Cricetulus griseus: one gene and its partner. The protein of the gene in region 1 interacts with the protein of each later gene in a pairwise test. Links are inferred from orthologs where the notes say so. Each region holds a gene or a part of one and is shown in the gene's direction. Other genes may lie near its edges.

The links. The genes of interacting proteins can lie anywhere in the genome.
Region 2: the proteins of Smurf1 (region 1) and Wfs1 interact in binary tests that used the Homo sapiens proteins (3 or more experiments, as listed by UniProt). The link is inferred for Cricetulus griseus from reciprocal best matches to the Homo sapiens genes SMURF1 and WFS1.

The regions. Positions count from the first base shown.
Region 1 is NC_048597.1:81,285,013-81,289,144, reverse strand, and holds the end of Smurf1 (E3 ubiquitin-protein ligase SMURF1), read left to right. Parts: intron 1-578; coding exon 579-678; 3' UTR 679-3,580; downstream 3,581-4,132. UniProt on the Homo sapiens protein: E3 ubiquitin-protein ligase that acts as a negative regulator of BMP signaling pathway. Mediates ubiquitination and degradation of SMAD1 and SMAD5, 2 receptor-regulated SMADs specific for the BMP pathway.
Region 2 is NW_023276807.1:105,936,553-105,940,124, reverse strand, and holds part of Wfs1 (wolframin), read left to right. Parts: intron 1-387; coding exon 388-532; intron 533-1,905; coding exon 1,906-2,076; intron 2,077-2,557; coding exon 2,558-2,638; intron 2,639-3,572. UniProt on the Homo sapiens protein: Participates in the regulation of cellular Ca(2+) homeostasis, at least partly, by modulating the filling state of the endoplasmic reticulum Ca(2+) store.

The DNA.
Region 1 (4,132 bases):
ATTGCTCTGTGCCTACGATTCACAAGCCACTGCTTTCTCTTAACTGTCTTTTTAAAATACTATGAGACAATTGATGTATCTCTTTGTATAATACTTGGAGTGTCCCGTCCCCTGTGTCGTGTGCTCCCCCCCCCCCCCCCCGCTCCAATCTTAAGTAGGAAGGTTGCTACCCACCTCGTCTTTTTAGGATTTGGCATCCTTTTTCTTTTGAGCCCCAGCATGCTCTTGCAGTGTATTGGCTGACCCTCAGTAGGCAGTAGGAGAGCTGATGGTCACCAGTGCTAATCACAGGCCAGTCAGGGGTTCTTCCTAGTGTAGAGAAATCACACCCAGAGACAAAACAACAATCAGTAAGTGTACAAGTTTATATTTTGATTTCGTAGATGTTGAGATTTTTCTGAGTTGATTGGAAGAAACAAAAACTCCCAAACAAACAGCGTTGAAAGCTGAGCCGTGTGTGTTCAGAACTTGACATGGTTGGGCTCTTGCCAACCAGAGATGGGATGCCATATCCCACCCACTGTGCAGATGACTGGGTGACTCCCAGCAGTGACTCTGGCTCCTTTGTCCTTTTCCAGCTTTAACCGGATTGACATCCCGCCCTATGAGTCCTATGAGAAGCTCTATGAGAAGCTGCTCACAGCTGTGGAGGAGACCTGTGGCTTTGCTGTGGAGTGAGGAGTGGCCAGGGGCAGCAGAGTCTCCTTCACAACCACCAGACCCAAAGCATATGGCGTCTGCACGCCTCCCGCATGGCGGGCTGAGGCCTGAGATCCCAGAAACCTGAGGGAAAAGGCTCGTCTCCCTCCTCCTTTGGGGAGGGCAGGCCAGGGGACTTTCATAGGTGGCTCCCACCCATTTATCCCTCCTTTATTATAGTTTGCCCACCCCTCCATGACTCATCCACTGAAACTCAGCCAGGTTTTGCCCTCAGCCTCCTTGGCATGGTGGAAAGGCTGTGGGAGCATCAACCCATGGTCAGGCCAAGCTGGGCCCCTGAGGGTCTGCATGGTCTCTGTACCAGCGCTCTCGGTGTAGCCTCAAGGCCCTTTTCAAGTTCAGCAGCTGCCGATAGCTTACTAAGTTCAAATTCTAGATGTCCAGCTAGCAGCCTGTTCCAGATAGCAGGTGGATTTCTAAGCAGGAAATAACTGCAATGTATGCTTGCTAGATTCCACCCAGGCAGGAAGCTCAAGGCAGGATGTATTTCCCCTCTGAGAGATAAAGGAATTGGATCCAGCAGCCTTCACTGGAGGCCCAGGGTATTTTTCAGGGTATCCTGGTTGAAAAGATGGTTTTGCACAAGGGGGAACAATCTTTAAAGTCCCATTTGCTATGTTCTCTACCCAGTTTGAAATTCTCACATGTCATGGAGCTAATCAAAGAATGGCCAAAACCAGGCTCAGATCCCCCCCGGGTCCAGCTGACTCCTGTGCCAGGGACTGGAGGCTCCTGACTGTCTTGAAATGTTAATGGACTTTTATATGGGGATTGCTAAGAGCTAAACTAACAGAACAATTTTGTCACCACAGCCACTGGGTGGGACAGCAGGAGGCCGCTGACCTGGGGTCCCCTGATGTAGCTTCCCAGGGTTGGTGCTATGCACAAAGCAGGTTGTGATGGAGCCTGTGGTAACAGGGTGGGGGCTTTACCTCCCTACATGGCCCTCTTCCCCCGTGGCAATGGTGATGCTAACAGTTCTACTCAATTTGCTTGCTCAGTTTTCATCTTCTGATGAGCAAGGCCAAAGCCAGCCTAACGCCATGTCTCTAACACCATTTCCAGTTTGCACAAGTGTTCAGAAGCGGTGACTCTTTTGATAGAGGGGCTGGATTCAGGCAGCTGCACTCTGGTAGAAGCAGAGCAGCAGCCAATTTTCCATGTGTGGTTTTGTCATTTTTGTTTGCGGTAGGGGCGAGAACAGGGTAATTCATTAGCAAGACATTTCATTGGTACCGGGGTTCAGGTTCAGCCATGAGTTGGAGTTGGATGTGGGATATGAGGAAGGCCCTCTTGGGCCACTGGCTTTTGTGTTCTTTTCATTGCTTACCCTCAGCCTGGGCATGGGAAAGTGACTTCCCTGCTGCTCCTGATGCTTCTGTCCAGCTTGCTCTGGGAGCAGCTCCAAAGTGACTGGGGGAGGCTGGATTCACAGGTCATACGCACTCTACCCCAAGAGGTTTGCCAGCTTGGTAGCCACTGATACCACAGAGTGTGAGTCAGCCATACTCTAGGTTTCAAGGTTTGGAGACAGGAAGACCTCACTGCACAAAAACCGAACCCGTCCCGCCATCCAGGCCAGACTGGGGCCTTATCAGTCTCAATTTTCTGCCTTGCCCCAGTAGGGCTTCTGTATTTCATCTACCTTAACACTTCTGGGGGCATTCTAAAAGCCGGCTCCCTCATGACCCGGAGTATTGAGGAAGCCTGTGCCCTAAGCCACAGCCAGTCCGTGGAAACCAGCCAGAGCCTGCAGAGTGACACTTTGGAGACTGGAAACCTGCCTGTTGCTTTTGCACTGTGCCAGTCTGCATTGATGAAGGAAAGCAGGGTTACATTGGGAGTGATAAGGGACAAGCCTTAGGAGTCCCGGGTCAGGTGTCCTGAGGAAGATCCAGAGGTTGGGCCCTTGGGCTGACTGTAGTAGGCACACAGACCACCTCTAAGTCTGCTTGCATTGCCTGTGGGTTCCCCCATTGCCAGTTCTGAGTGTCGCAGCTTCCCCCGGGTGCATCTGTCTGCGCAGCACCGTCCTCTGTTGGTACCGCTGCACCTCCTTGTCTGTCTACCATGGTTAGGCCCTTCTGAAACACCTCAAAGGACACTGCGTGGCCGGCCCACGGCTAAGCTCCTGGTTGCCCTACTTTGGGTCTGGATGAAGCCCTTTCGTGTAAGATCTCGATTGTCACCCCTCCTGGTGGCCCTAAACGATCCACCGTCACCACATCACCCAGATGCTTCAGGAGCCCGGCTCTCCAGGCTACCCTCACCAGCGGCCAGCAGCCACACTCAGGGACGCAGCAAACACCACTCTGCTTCGCAGCGCTTCAGAGGAAGCGCAGGCTGCAGCAATGGGATGGCAGCGGTTCACGGGTCGCGATCTCCTGCTTTCTGTTAGGAGAGTCTGCCCTGCCACAAGATGGGATGTGGGGATGCTGACACCTACACTGGCTTGGCCACATGGTCAAGTTCAGGATAGGCGGACCCTGGACTGACCTTCTGCAGAGAAAACACCCCGCCCTACTGCAGCCAGGTGGGGGCCACATGACAGCCTTCTCAAACAGTGTGGGTTTTTCAAATGTGTTTATAATGTATTCTAATTTATTTTGTAAGGTCCTGTTTGAAGTGCTGCTGCTACCCTAGTTGCTCTCCCAGTTTTTATCGCCCATTTACTTGTGACAGTTGTACACTAATGTTCTGTTTTATGTCTGAATTGAAAGTATTTAAAGAAATGCTAGTTCTATTTAATGCAGTTGTGGAACCAGCTGGAAACACAAAACATTGACTGTAGAGCAGGCTGGACCCGGGAGGTCAGGTTCATTTTGTTACATATGCAATAAACTCACAACTTTACATTTTCTTTTGGCATCTGTTACTTTGATGTGGTAACAAGATTTGGATGTATTTAACCTAGCTTCACCAGCAATGAAGTTCAGCCTCCAAGGAAAAGAGGCAAAGCTAGGACTTTGGGGAAAACAAATGGAAATACCAGTGCTTAAACAGTCTTAGTGTATCCGTCAATCTGTCCCTGACACCTTGGACTTGAGGTGGGAGCATTGTGCCTTCCCTGGGGCTCTGTCCACCTCACCAGGTGGTTAGCTAATTCCTTGCACACTCTCTCTGCTTTTGGTTATTTTGAGTAAGACTGCTCAGAATTTGCATGCACAAACTTCTGTTGGACTCTATTACAATCTACAGAAATCCTGGGTCACCATGCCCTGGGTTAACTTTTTGAGGGCCCTTCCTGCTGCAGGTGCTTCTCAGAAAACTATGACATTCCATCGTTGTAAACTTCTCTCAAGTCAAAAATACCATTTACTCACCTCTGAGGTGATGCTGTATCTCCTCACAGCATCCTGAGACAGTTCACTTGGAAGTGCTGTGTAGGTCGTAGCTGCTTTGTAGTTAGAAC
Region 2 (3,572 bases), on another chromosome or scaffold:
ATGGCATACACACACACACACACACACACACACACAACACACACACACACACACACACACACACACACACGCAATAAATGAATAAATATATGTAATGCTTTTTATTTTAAAATTCTATTATAAAGATAAATAGTAATCTAGCCTAGGACCAGGGCTTCTCTTGGCTGCCTTTCTCCAGCTTGAGCTGTTTGAGAGGCAGCAAATGGATTCAGCTCTTTTAGCTTTCTGACCATGATGGGGTTCTGCACCCAGTACGCAGGAACAAGGGAAGAAGCTAAGCACGGTGTAGAGCCCACATTCTGTCATTATAGAAGGTTCTACACCTGCCTCATAGTGAAGAGAACAGAGTCCCAGAAGCTGGAGTATGATGGATGTCTCTGCTCTCAGGTGGGCAAACACTACCTGCGACTTGCCAATGACGCAGATGAAGAACTCAACAGCTGCTCAGCCGTGGCCTGGCTAATCCTGGCAGCCAAGCAGGGCAGGCGGGAAGCTGTGAAGCTACTGAGGCGGTGCCTGGCTGACAGGAAAGGTGAGGCTGTATGAGTCCCTTAGCCACTGCCTGCAGGGTAAGCAGTTTACAGTGCTGGCCATGCTGTTGGGAAGGGAGAGGTCTTTTTGGTCACCTCCTCACCCTGAGAGATTTTTGAAATCTTCCAGGTACTTCACATGCCAGGCCAATTCCTTGTCCTGTGCTTAGGGTCTGCAGGTAGTAATTAACTAGTCCCACTTCCTTTCTGGGTTCTAGTCCAAATTGGGAAGTAAATCTTAGAGTCAGAAGAAGGCAGTTGTCCCAAGGGCCCCAGAGTATAAGTGTCCTGTAGGTTCCAAGTCTGAGGAAGGTAACACAGGTGCTTCACTGAGTTTTTGTTGTGGTTGTGAATTTTGATATTGATTTTTAATTGTAAATTTTTATGCTTGCTGTATAAAACTTGCAATATATTGAAGTCACAAGGATACAGTTACTCATAACCAAAGCCCAGGGAGACATGCTGTATATATCAGTGTTTTCAAGGTTTCATTTAGTATATGGAATCTTTTCTCTTTGACAACTAGACTGGTCATTTGGGGGAGAAACAAAACAAGAATGGTTTTCCCATTTTATTCTGTCAGCCAAGGTATCTTAGCTCATCTGCCCAGACCACAGGAGGTAGAGTAACCTAGGGCTGGCCAGGTTAGGGGAGAGCAACCCACATGACTGTGGTCTGGAACCATTGTTTCCCAGGGCTGCCTAGGAACAGAGGCAGGCACACAGCCCTGGAGGGTGGGAAGGAGAGGCAGCACAGGCTCCCCTGCTCTGCCCTGCCCTGCCCTGCCCTGCATTGCTCCCCCAAGATTCCTGGGCAGATAAAAAGTCCAGTCCTCCTGAGAGAGGTGATGTCTATTTGCACTGGGGCCCTGTCTTTGCTCACCTCACTCCTCTGGGCCACCTGGCATTCTTTCTTCTGTGTAGAAGAATCCGTGTTCCCAGATGCCCAGCCCAGGAAACACTGTGGGCATGAGTATGTCCCCTTCTTGCCACAGTTTCACTTGTAATTGCAGCAAGTCTGACCCAGATTCTAGGTGGCTTGTTCCTCTTCAGACTTGGGCCCACAGCACCTTGCTTTGTGCCTTGTCCCTATTGTAGTACCTGCTGATGAGGGTTCCCTGAGGACGAGGTGTGAGAGGGAACAAGCCAGGAAGGGCTGCCGGCCCTGTGTTCCAGTGGACACCCAGGCATTGCCAGACTGCCTGACCTCCAATCTGGAGCATGGGTGATGTCGGGGATAGGCTCAGATGCACTTTGGGGGCAGGTATCAACTCGACTCTGAGTCAAGGAAGCCAGTCAGATCCCTCATGACCCTGTACGAGTGTCCCTGGGGGCTGCTGTGGGACATGGCTTTGCCTAATGCTTCTGTCTGTCAGGCATCACTTCTGAGAACGAGGCTGAGGTGAAGCAGCTGTCCTCTGAGACTGACCTGGAGAGGGCCGTGCGCAAGGCTGCCCTGGTCATGTACTGGAAACTCAACCCCAAGAAGAAGAAGCAGGTGGCTGTGTCCGAGCTGCTGGAAAATGTCGGGCAGGTCAATGAGCAGGGTAGGCCAGCCACATCACCAACAACCAGCCTCCCCTTGGCTTCCCTATGGGGATTGGGGTCCTGTGGTTAGGAGGTGACTGGCATGTTGGCAAAGACTGTAAATACCATTTATTGTTCATTTATTGATTGAAGTATATTCCGGGATGCTTCTGATTCAAGGACCAGAGATACAGGGAGTAACAGGAGCCTGGTACTCACCCCCAGGGAGCTGACTAGTTGGCTGAAGATGGTGCAGTGCCAGCCAAAGGGGAAGGGTGGGAGGGGTGTGTTTCATCACTGAGTAGAAACCACACTGAGCATACTGGTCCTCCTTGTGGGAAGGTTCCGAGATGGCTACCCAGGGATATGACCCTTGCATATGATGGGGTCCCAAGCCCTGTGATCCCTGAGCACTGTGACAGCCCAGGATCCTGAGGATGTATGCCTGGTGGGCTATGACAACTCGGCAGCCCCAGCTTCCAATCCTCTCTGATCCTACAGATGGAGGGGCACAGCCAGGCCCGGTCCCCAAGTCCCTGCAGAAGCAGAGGCGCATGCTGGAGCGCCTAGTCAGCAGTGAATGTGAGTATGAATGCCCATCCTGCTCTCCACTGTCTGCCTCCCATACACCATCCAGCACAGCATCCACTCTTTCCTGTGCATCCTAGCCTGGGTCTCCCACCAGAGTCTCTGGCTTAAATGGACTTTTGTTCAGTCCCTTTGAGTGGCAGTGTTTTTGTTTCTGGAACCTGAGCCTTGTTCAATGGGAGCTCAGACTACAGCAGGAAACAGACCTACAGTGTGACAGTCCTCACCAGGTGAAGGCCAGAGTCAGGGTTGGTGCCTGGGTGGGCAGAAAGTTCAGTGAGGGAGATGGCTCTGACTGGGAGTGTGTGTATGTATGGGGGGTCCCAGTGTGGGCACTTATGTTGAGGCAGAAATAGGGTGTTATATCATCCATGTGGGATGGGAGAGAGGCTGGGGCACACAGAACTGGAGGTGCTCTTGAAATGTCTGAGGTCAGAGAATTAGAAGACACCAGACCATCACTCCGTGTGTAGAGGGAGGAAGGGGTGAAATCTGTAGTTCAAGGGCCCCAGGCTCCTATCCTGGAGAAGATGGACATGTCAGGGAGGGGGCTTAGGGCTTCTTGGGGCTTCTCATCACTGATAGAGCTGAGTCAAGAGCCTCCTTGTGAAGCCCAGTGGGTGGGACAGGGGTTCAAAGTTGTGTCTTGTCATATTAACTCATGAATGCAGCCTCCCCAGCTAGCCCAGTCAGAACTTCCAACATGACCATTGCTCTTGGTGACTCTGCCAGTATCTACCATTTGTCTTCCCTGGAGGCTGGGAGTCCAGCCTTTGACACATGCTGCATTTCTTTTACCTGTCCCCAGTGTTTCCCAGAGCTCAACAAAGCACAGTGCACAGCAGGCTCTTGGCAAACACAGGTGGGATATAGAGGTTGACAGACACACAGTGGGTCCTCAGGGGATCCTGGTGGGGGTGGGGGCAAA